Linked DNA regions of Macaca fascicularis. Each later gene encodes a partner of the first gene's protein in a complex. Links are inferred from orthologs where the notes say so. Each region holds a gene or a part of one and is shown in the gene's direction. Other genes may lie near its edges.

Evidence for each region.
Region 2: the proteins of BRME1 (region 1) and HSF2BP are in contact, whole or in part, in a crystal structure (PDB 7Z8Z), measured with the Mus musculus proteins. The link is inferred for Macaca fascicularis from reciprocal best matches to the Homo sapiens genes BRME1 and HSF2BP. Residues at the interface, in NP_083321.2 of Mus musculus: Met541, Gln542, Asp543, Ala544, Thr545, Val548, Arg549, Leu551, Val552, Leu555, Ser556, Asn559, Ile562, Met563, Thr565, His566, Leu569, Lys573; in NP_083178.1 of Mus musculus: Glu23, Phe24, Val25, Lys26, Val27, Arg28, Asp31, Leu32, Arg34, Leu35, Glu38, Val39, Gln41, Ile42, Phe45, Leu46, Arg48, Ile49, Glu53, Leu54.

The regions. Positions count from the first base shown.
Region 1 is NC_088393.1:14,313,152-14,318,783, reverse strand, and holds part of BRME1 (break repair meiotic recombinase recruitment factor 1), read left to right. Parts: intron 1-2,525; coding exon 2,526-2,700; intron 2,701-4,884; coding exon 4,885-4,966; intron 4,967-5,217; coding exon 5,218-5,322; intron 5,323-5,632. UniProt on the Homo sapiens protein: Meiotic recombination factor component of recombination bridges involved in meiotic double-strand break repair.
Region 2 is NC_088377.1:3,423,011-3,428,271, forward strand, and holds the start of HSF2BP (heat shock factor 2-binding protein), read left to right. Parts: upstream 1-1,396; 5' UTR 1,397-1,505; intron 1,506-2,567; 5' UTR 2,568-2,798; coding exon 2,799-2,834; intron 2,835-4,477; coding exon 4,478-4,628; intron 4,629-5,261. Other genes in the region: RRP1B (ribosomal RNA processing protein 1 homolog B), read right to left, coding at 1,100-1,229. UniProt on the Homo sapiens protein: Meiotic recombination factor component of recombination bridges involved in meiotic double-strand break repair.

The DNA.
Region 1 (5,632 bases):
GGTGCCCGCAACCTCGCCTGGCTAGTTTTTTGTATTTTTTAGTAGAGACAGGGTTTCACCGTGTTAGCCAAGATGGTCTTGATCTCCTGACCTCGTGATCCCCCTGTCTTGGCCTCCCAAAGTGCTGGGATTACAGGCTTGAGCCACCGCGCCTGGCCCCTAATTGTCTTTTTGAGACAGGCTCTAGTTCTGTTGCCCAGGCTGGAGTGTAGTGGCGCAGTCTAGACTCACTGCAATCTCTTCCTCCGGGCTCAAGTCATCCTCCGGCTTCAGCCTCTCAAGTACGTGGGACTACAGGTGTGCGCCACCATGTCTGGCTAGTTTTCTTACTTTTTAGACAGTGTTTCGCCATGTTGCCCAGGCTGGTCTTGAACTGCTGAGCTCAAGCAATCCACCTGCCTCGGCTTCCCAAAGTCCTGGGATTACAGGCTGTGAGAAAGGCTGATATTTTAATCATGGACAAAGATAATATTGAATTGCTCAATGTTACTTCTGTAAGGCAGGCATAACAGCAGCACCCTGCCTTAAGCTTTTATCTTAACACACACAAGTTCTTAGGACGGCATCTGGTGTGGAACTCACTAGAGTCAACCCTTATCATTTGTGCACTGAATACATGATTAGGTGGAGCCAGGTTTGGGGAAGTCTTACAAGCCAGCCACTATTGAAAGCTTCAATGTAAGTGAGTTTTCTTAATTCAAAAAATAGATGCTGGCCAGGCAAAGTGGTTCATGGCTGTAATTCCAGCACTTTGGGAGGCTGAGACAGAGGTCACGAACTCTGAGTGCCAGAGTTTGCGACCAGCCTGGGCAACATAGTGAGACCCTGTGTCTATAAAACAAAAACAAAAACAGACTTAGCCGGGCATGGTGGCACACACCTGTTTTCCCAGCTACTCAAGGGGCCTGAGGCGGGAGGATGGCTTGAGCCCAGGAGGTCAAGACTGCAGTGATCCACAGTTGTACCACTTCACTCCAGCCTGGGAGACAAAGCCAGACCCTGTCTAAAAAAAAGAAAATATATATATATATGTAGTATATATAATACATAAATACATATATAAATATGTATGTATAAATATATATATTTACATATTTGGCTGAGGCTGAATCCTGAGGTGGCATGGCCTGGCTTTAGATCACATGGAACAACCTGGCAATATAGTGGGATATATAATATATACTGTATATATTTAATAAATATATAATATACATCATATGTAAATATGTAAGTACATAACTTTATAATATATTGATATATTAGAAATATATAATTTAATATATATTTATAATTATAAATATGTAATATGTAAACATAATATATTTTATATGTATGTATATGTTAAATATGAATCCATATGTATTCTTATATATAATATATAATACATACTAATTTTTTTTTGAGACAGTCTCACTCTGTCACCCAGGCTGGAGTGCAGTAGTGCAATCTCAGCTCACTGCAACTTCTGCCTCCCGGGTTCAAGTGATTCTCCTGCCTCAGCCTCCCAAGTAGCTGGGACTATAGGTGGGTGCCACCATGCCTGGCTAATTTTTGTATTTTCAGTAGAGATGGGGTTTTGCCTTGTTGGCCAGGCTGGTCTTGAACTCCTGACCTTAGGTGATCCACTTGCCTCAGCCTCCCAAAGTGCTGGGATTATAGGCATGAGCCACCGTGCTATGTATACAAAGATGTCAGTAAGCATCTTTAGCCTCTTAAATGCCGGAAGAAGACACGTCGCAATTGCTTTCAGTGATGGGGAAGTTAGTGCAGAAATGCAAGGGCCCAGGACGTGGCCAAAGCATCACCTCTTCAGCACCCACTGACTGTGAGTCCCAGTTTTCCCAGGATGGCTATTTCACAGATGTCTCAGCACACTAGAGTAGTACATAATTTAGTCTTGTCTGCACTTGGTGGTGTGCATTTATCCAATCATCTCCTAAGTATTTATTGAGCACCAACAGTGTACAGGATGCTCTTACAGGCACTTGGGACCCCGCAGAAAGTGAGATGGATTCGGCCCCTTCTCGCGTGCAGCCTAGTTGTAGTGGGGGAGACGGGAGATGACCCAGGACATTGATACTTGCAGAAAAGCTGAGAAGGGAAGAAGTCAGGCTCATGAAAGGGGATGTTTGGTAGAGAAGACAGGAATGACCCCTCTGCAGAGTTGTTTGAGCTGGGACCCACTACACACCCCTTACCACTTCCCCAGAAAGAGAGTCGGCCAGGCCAGGTTCTTCTGTGTGATCTGGAGCCAGGCCAGGCCACCTCCTGATTCAGCCTCAGCTCCGGCCAGTCCATAGGTAAAAAGCCTTTGAATCTCATGGCCACATAAGCTCATAAGTCCCACCTTTGATAGGGGTTCCAGTCCATCTCTCGCTCACCAGGTGAGCATCAGAGCGGGGGTTTCATGCCCTTGGAACGAGCCTGCTTTCTTTCAAGACAGCAGTGGCCTTGCTGTGTTCAGTTGTCAGCCATGGCAGTGGCTGTATCCCCCACTCCTTCATCTTCCTCTATCTCTAAAACAGGAGACAGACTCTGTCCTCCAAAACCCCTAAAGACCCCAAGGCTAGGAGACTCTGATGGGGACCCCCAGAGTTCCATGTTGGGCTGTTTACATCACCCTGAGGAGCCAGAGAGTAAACTGGGACCTGTTCCCTCTACACAGCAGCACGGGGAGGAACCAGGAAAGGCGGTCTGCAGGTAGGTGGCTGTGAGCATTCCAGCAGGTCTCCCCACTGACAGTCCACATAGCACAGCAGCTCAGCAGACAGCAATGCTTTGGGAAGTAGACCCACAACCTATCCAGTGCTGTGACCCACTCCTTCCCAGAGCTCAGGGCCATCGGATCTTACTTCTCCTAGCTTTCCTCGCTGGTAAGAAGGGTTGATGTTTTGGCTAGGCATGGTGGCTAATGCCTGTAATCCCAGCACTTTGGGAGGCCTAGCAGGGAGGATCACTTGAGGTCATGAGTTTGAGACCAGCCTGGCCAACATTGCAAAACCCTGTCTCTACTAAAAATACAAAAATTAGCCAGGTGTGGTGACACACCTGTAATCCCAGATACTCGGGAGGCTGAGGCAAGAGAATCGACTGAACCCAGGAGGCAGAGGTTGCAGTGAGCAGAGATCATGCCACTACACTCTAGTCTGGGCAACAGAGCGAGACTCCATCTAAAAAATAAAAGAAAAAAAGAAGTTTTAACTGTGGACAAAGATAACGCTGAATTTTTCAAGGTTACAGAACTTATATTCTATAACTCATATTCTGTCTGCTGGTCAAACCCATCCGTCTTCCACATTCCTCCTCCTTAATCAAGAAGGGAACAAAGGAATTGTTGTTATGCGAGCTAATGACCAATAAAAAAGAAAAGCAATCAGGGCTGGGCGCAGTGGCTCATGCCTGTAATCCCAGCACTTTGGGAGGCCAAGGCAAGAGGATTGCTTGAACCCAGGAGTTTGAGAGGAGTCTGTGTAACATAATGAGGATGACCCCATATCTACAAGAAATAAAATAATTAGCCAAAACAAAATGATATCTATATCCTTATGGATGTGTGTATGTATTTGAGACAGGGTCTTGCTCTGTCACCTAGGCTGGAGTGCAGTGGTACAATCTTGGCTCACTGCAACCTCCACCTCCTGGGTTCAAGCGATTCTCCTGCCTCAGCCTCCCAAGTAGCTGGGATAAAAGGCGCCCGCCACCACACTCAGCTAATTTTTGTATTTTTACTAGAGATGGGGTTTCACCATGTTGGCCAGGCTGGTCTTGAGCTCCTGACTTAAGGTGATCTGCCTGCCTCAGCCTCCCAAAGTGCTGGGATTACAGGTGTGAACCACTGCGCCTGGCCCTTATTTATTTCAATATAACCCTAAGTTTCACTAGTTTTTAAAGACACTATGTTTCTTGCATCTACAATTTCCTTTCTCTAGAATGTGTCTTGTGAGAGCTGGAGTGTCCGTCCAAATGAGAATATCCCTATTCCCAGTTCAGAAGGCAGTTCCTGGCATTATAAGTGTGACAAAGTCACCTGTTGAGGCAGTGTATTCTCCAAGTGGGACTCTGCACCCTCCTTGCCCGTTAAATGTTCTCAGGTCACTGCTTCTCCATCCCCATCCCACTCTTTTAAAGCAGGTTTTCCAGGGCCTTCCATCTAGCAGATTTTTTTTTTTTTTTTTTTTTTTTTGAGACAGGGTCTTGCTCTGTCACCCAGGCTGGAGTATAGTGATGTGATCATAGCTCATTGTAGCCTGAACTCCCCTGGCTTAGATGATCCTCCCATCTCAGCCTCCCAAGTAGCTGGGACCACAGGCACACATCACCTTGTCCAGCTAATTTTTAAACTTTTTGTGGAAACAGGGTCTCACTATGTTGCTCAGGCTGGTCTCAAACTCCTGGGCATTCACCCACCTCAGCCTCCCACAGTGCTGGGATTAAAGGCATGAGCCACCGTGCCCAGCCTAGGAGACTCTTAGCACTGGTTTCCTCTTAGATTTTGTTTTGCATTTGTCTCAATATGTGAGTGACAACCTAGGAGGATTTCAGATCCCCCTCAGTTTGTTTGTTTGTTTGTTTTGACACAGAGCCTTGTTTTGTCGCCTAGGCTGGGGTGCAGTAGCACGATCTTGGCTCACTGCAACCACCACCTCCCAAATTCAAGCCATTCTGCCTCAGCCTCCCGAGTAGCTGGGATTACAGGCATGTGCCACCACATCCGGCTAATTTTTGTATTTTTAGTAGAGATAGGGTTTCACTATGTTCCCCAGGTTGGTCTCGAACACCTGGCCTCAGTGATCTGCCCACCTCAGTCGCCCAAAGTGCTGGGATTACAGGCGTGAGCCACAGTACCCGGGCAGATCTTCCTCAGTTTTATCTTTTCCTACACAGCTCCCCAGATGAGGAAACAGGAGCTCCCTGCTGGCTCCTCCGTCAACCAGAGAAGGAGCCAGCTCCCCTTCCTCCTTCCCAGGTGAGCCTGTCCTGTGGCCTCGTGGATGTAGAAGCACCGCTGCCTCCCTTAAAGTTCCGGCTCTGTGTCTCCCTTCATTGTCCCCAGTTGCTCACTCATGGTCTACAGGGGCTGGAGGGAAGATACCCAAAGGGCAAGGGTGGAGTTCTCTCAAGGCTACAAGAAAGGAGCAGGTTTGGGTTTGCTTTTTTCCTGAGACCTCATTCCTCCCTTATCTTTATTGCTGCTTTGTTCTTGTATCCGGTTTACAGAACTCAGTTGGGAGGTTTGTTCCCCAGTTTGCAAAATCCAGGAAGACAGTGGCAAGAAAAGGAGAGACAAAGGATGAGAACCTCAGGAGTGGGGCCTTTAGCCTGGTAAGGCTCTAAAATCAGCCAGGCTGAGCCCAGCGCACGTGCGGCCTCCTGGCCCAGCCTCGGCAGCCCCATTTCACCCTGGAGTTCTTTGGCAATGGTGAGGCCTGCACCTCTCTTCCACCCGCCGTTTTCAGTACATTGTGCTATGGATATATGTTGAGTATGCAACAATTCTTTTTTTTTTTTTTTCCTTTTTTTTCTTGAGACGGAGTTTTACTCTTGTCACCCAGGCTAGAGTGCAATGGCACCATCTTGGCTCACTGCAACCTCCGCCCCACCAGGTTCAAGCAGTTCTCCTGCCTCAGCCTCC
Region 2 (5,261 bases), on another chromosome or scaffold:
AAATATTCTTGGATCAGGTAAATGAAATCATTCAACAGCAGTGCCGTTAAAATCTACACTACAAAGCCCTGTGTGATCTGGCCACTGCCTACAATCTCCAACTTCATCTCATCACACTCTCCCCGCCCACCCACAACTTAATTGGTCTTTCAAACCACTCCTAGGGCACGTGAAGCTCTTTCCTGCCTCTGCATAGGCGCTTTCCGCTCATCTCTCTTCAGATTTCAGCTGAACATCACCCGAGAGGCCTTCCCAGAACAGTCTATCAAGAAGAGCAACCTCCTTCACTTCTTGCTATTACCTGGTTTTCTTTCTTTCTCTCTTTCTTTCTTTTTTTGAGACGGAGTTTCGCTCTTGTTGCCCAGGTTGGAGTGCAATCGTGCGATCTCGGCTCACCGCAACGTCCGCCTCCCAGGTTCAAGCGATTCTCCTGCCTCAGCCTCTCGAGTACTGAGATTACAGGCATGCGCCACCATGCCCGGCTAATTTTGTATTTTTAGTAGAGCCGGGGTTTCACCATGTTGGATTGGCCAGGCTGGTCTCGAACTCCCGACCTCCGGTCATCCGCCCGCCTCGGCTTCCCAAAGTGCTGGGATTACATGCGTGAGACACCGCGCCCGGCCTACTACCTGGTTTTCATTTCCTTTACTACACTTACACAAGGTCTACTTTATTTGCCTGTTTGCCTCCTTGCTTTATTACTAACAAATCCTCGAGAGTAGTGCTTCTGTCTTCTCTCCTCCAGCCCCGGCACGTAAAGGTGCTGGTCAAAGAAAGGCGGCAATCACCGACCGGACACCAGGGCAAATGAGGGCAGCCCAGTGATTCGAGATGCCGGCTGGGGAATCGGACCCATTGGGTCTTTTCTCAGCTTTCCCGCTTACTGTGACTTTCACAAGTAACGGAACACCCTCAACCCGTTTCCTCAAGTGTAAAAAGGCACTAGACACAGCAAGAAGCGGTTCTGGCAGCGCGGAAACCTAAGCACACGCTGGGTGTCACGACAACACGTGGAAGCCGCGTTCCGTGCCAGGGCCCTGGCCCCAGCCCCGGCCCCCGGCCCGCCATGTGGCGCGGCTGACCGCCGCCGTGCGCCCACCTGTCTCCCTCTGCGTCTTCACGCTGATGTACTGGCGCAGCTTCTTCACCGCCCGGTCCCGAATGCCCTTCTCGCTGGACGCCAGCCGCTGGGCAAACTGGATCTCGGCCGGCTGCATGGCGGGGGCCATCGCGCCCGCTGGAGCATCCCCGGCCGCGCAACCCGCGGTGCAGATGCCGCCAGCCGAGCGCCGCGGAGCAGCCAGCCGCCGTCCGCCAGGGCCTCGACTGCACAGAAGTCGGCGACGGCGCGCGAGTTGATGGCGTCACAAAGGCGCCGCGGCTCGCAGCGCGCTCTGGGAGTGAGCGCGGCCGTGGCCCTGGCAGCGGGCGGAGCGGCCCATCTCTTGTGCGAGTGGCGCCGGCGCTGCCTTTCGGTTGCCAAAATTCAGGCTGTACACGGCGAGGTTAGCCAGGGTTAGGACTTGGCCAGGAAGAGACGGACGGCTGTTTGTAAACGGTCTAGGATTTTTTGTTTTTGAGACAGGGTCTCCCTCTGTCGCCCAGGCTGGAGTGCAGGGGCGCGATCTTGGCGGTGATCTTGGCTCACTGCAGCCTCGACCACCCAGACTCAAGCGATCCTCCCATGTCGACCACCCAAGTAGCTGAGACTACAGGCGCGCGCTATCACGCCCCACTACTTTTTATTTTTGTAGAGATGGGGTCTCGCTATGTTGTCCAGGCTGGTCTCAAACTCCTGGGCTTAAGCAATCCTCCCGCCTCGGCCTCCCTGAGCGCTGGGATTAAGGGATTGAACCACGGCGCCTGGCCACAGTCTAGGATCTTTAATCCCATTTAGCACACCCCGTTGAGCCAGCAGCTCACCTGCGATCTCCGTGGCACGGAGTTTTTAACTGTGGAGCCCCCGGGCCCCAGGGTGGAGTTGAGACTGGAAGGAAAGGCCGGCACTGGGGCCTGTTGAGCGGGTGAAGGGCTCACCTTCCGCCAGCGCCTGCAGAGGCTCGGGCAGGTCGGCGCGCCCCTTACTCTGGAGCCCTAGTGCCAGTGCTGGGGCACCCGCGCCGGCGTCCCGAAGCCTGGAGAGCACGCGCGCTTCCAGGGGAGTTGGGCAGGGCGGGCTGCTTGCTAACTCCAGAGAGGGAAGAAATCTTAGCTTTGGGTTCATCTAAAACCCAAGAACATCCTATATTTTGCGGACTCAGCGGGCGTGCCGGGGCAAGCTAATGGACTAGGTCACTCCACACGTAGCGGGGGTTATCTCAGTTGCTCCGCTCAGTTATGTGGGCGACCTCCCGAGGTGCCTGTTGACACAAAAATTCAACCCTTAACATAAAAGCGCCTGAATCCGAGCGAGGGAAGGCGAACCGCGGAGGCGAGGTTTCCAGCAAAGACTGCCAGTTTGAAACGGTCCCCCTTAGTGTAGCATTCCTCGCCAAACAGGAAAGGACTCTTCCGATTTATTTTACTTGACACTTACATCAGGGGCTGACTTTCCTTCTGCTTTGCAGATAACCCCGGCTAAATTTAAAACCCGGGCTAAGCCAGAAGAGCCAAAGTGGGACCTCGCCAAGACCACTCCTCGCGCTCTCGGCCGAGAATACTGCGCAAATTCTGCGAGGTTTGAGCCTCGCGCCTCTCCGTTCCCGACCCCCGGCGTGGACACGTTCCCGCGCTTTCTGGCGTCAGGGGTCAGAGGGCACGCCGCCGCGCAGGAGAACGGAGCCGAGGCCGCGGCTGCTATGGGCGAAGCGGGCGGTGCTGAGAAGGCCTGCAGGGTCAGTGAGGAAGCCCTGCCCACCGCCAGCGTGTTTGAGCCGTCGCCATTCGCTCCCCTCAGGGCCGCTCCCAGTGCGCTCGGAGACGGCCTGCTGTCGTGTGCTTGGGGGAGGCCTGGAGACTTCCTCCCCGGACAGCGTGAGCTGGGCCGGAGCGGGGCGAAGACGTGGGTGGGAGGCGACTTTCGCCTCCAAACCCACGCGGGGACCCGGTCTGTGAGGCTGCGCGCGGTGGGGGCACTCAATGGCGCCAAAGTGGGCATGGGAGCGTGGGATGGATGGTCACCTCTCTCTGCCCTGTGGAAGCCCAGTTCCCTTCCGAAGGCCCTGGCCCCGTGCTCCGGGACTTAGCGAGACAGCGTCAGTCTCAGAATCTGCCCTCCATCGATTTTTTATTTATTTTATTTTATTTTTTTTTTTTGAGACGGAGTCTCGCTCTGTCGCCCAGGCTGGAGTGCAGTGGCCGGATCTTAGCTCACTGCAAGCTCCGCCTCCCGGGTTCAAGCCATTCTCCTGCCTCAGCCTCCCGAGTAGCTGTGACTACAGGCGCCCGCTACCTCGCCCGGCTAGTTTTTTGTATTTTTTAGTAGAGACGGGGTTTCACCGTGTAGGCCAGGACGGTCTCGATCTCCTGACCTCGTGATCCGCCCGTCTCGGCCTCCCAAAGTGCTGGGATTACACTGCGCCCGGCCCCTCCATCGATTTTATAACTAACTGATTGCATGCGATGGAGAAGGCGCTTGGACTCTGGGGCCAGACCCGTGTTCACATCCTGCTTCCACTCCTTATTATTTGTGCTGCATTGAGAGTCACCAAGCTCCCGTGCCTTAATTTCCATCTGGACGATCTTGGAGGCTTGGGGTGAATAGATGAGATCACGGGCAGAAGGCTTAGCAAACCCAGTGGGAAACCAGTCTAGATGACTTCCTTTTTCTCCTGATTAGTTTGGTGCTGCAATGATAAAAAGTTGCAGGCGTTTTCTTTGACTTTTAGGAATAGAGCTCTTGTATGACTTTTGTTTTTCGTGTTCTTGCTCTGTTGCCCAGACTGGAGGGCAGTGGCATGATCATAGCTCACTGCAGCCTCCAACTCCTGGACTCAAACCTTCTTCCCGCATCAGCCTGCTGAGTAGCTGAGATTACAGGTGCATGCCACCACGCCTGGCTAATTTTTGTATTTTTAGTAGAGATGGAGTTTCACCATATTGGCCAGGCTGGTCTTGAACTCCTGATCTCAGGTGATCCACACGCCTCGGCCTCCCAAAGTACTGGGATTACAGGCGTGAGCCATCGCGCCCGGCATCCTGGGCACGTTTTCATATTTTTGTAGTGACAGGGTCTCTCTATGTTGCTCAGACTGGTGTTGAACTCCTGGCCTCCCAAATTCCTGGGATTTCAAGTGTAAGCCACCATGCCTGGCCTGTTTTCTCTTTATTATTTCTAACGTGAAGCTTTCACGTTAGAAAGCTCCAGCTTTCAAAATGTTTACATATACATAAAATAGATCTATAGCAGAACATACAGTAGGTAGAGACATGATTTGAAATAACAATGAACATAAGAGGTGTGAAAGAAAAGCAGGTTGACTTGGGCTGTTTTTTTTTGTCATGTGAAGAGAAATAAAAGATCTGCTTGTTCTTTTAGCACATAGGTACTAAAGAGGAATTTGTTAAAGTCAGAAAGAAGGACCTGGAACGGCTGACAACTGAAGTGATGCAAATACGGGACTTCTTACCCAGAATACTAAATGGGGAGGTGCTGGAGAGCTTCCAGAAATTAAAGATTGTAGAAAAAAGTGAGTCTTCATTTTCAACAGTCATTGGTGGTAACAGTAATTTGTTCTAGCAGATTTACCTTAGGTAAATAATTGTAAACCAATTTTAAGGTACTCTTGCAGTCCTTGCGATGATACTTGGGAGAGTCTGATGACCTAAGAAAGGGAGGTTTCCTCAATGTAGTGACTTGGACATATGTAAGTTGGTATAAGTTGGTTGCCAGTTTCCTGAGCATCTATTATCAGCTTCTATTTCTCTCTCACTTTCTTCATTGGCAGAAGAATTTTATACTTTTGATAACTGAAAAGCGCTATTCTGAAAATTAAGTACTTACTGTCATAAGTCAAGGTTCTTGCCATCTGGAAACCTTGCATGGAGTTTACTTGTCAGTACAGAGAGCTGGAATTGTGTTCATTTATCTTTAGGTAGATGGGTGAGCCAGTTTCTAGAACTGATTGAAATGTAGGCTTTCAGCCGGGCGCGGTGGCTCAAGCCTGTAATCCCAGCACTTTGGGAGGCTGAGACGGGCGGACACAAGGTCAGGAGATCGAGACCATCCTGGCTAACACGGTGAAACCCCGTCTCTACTAAAAAATACAAAAAGCTAGCTGGGCGAGGTGGCGGGCGCCTGTAGTCCCAGCTACTCGGGAGGC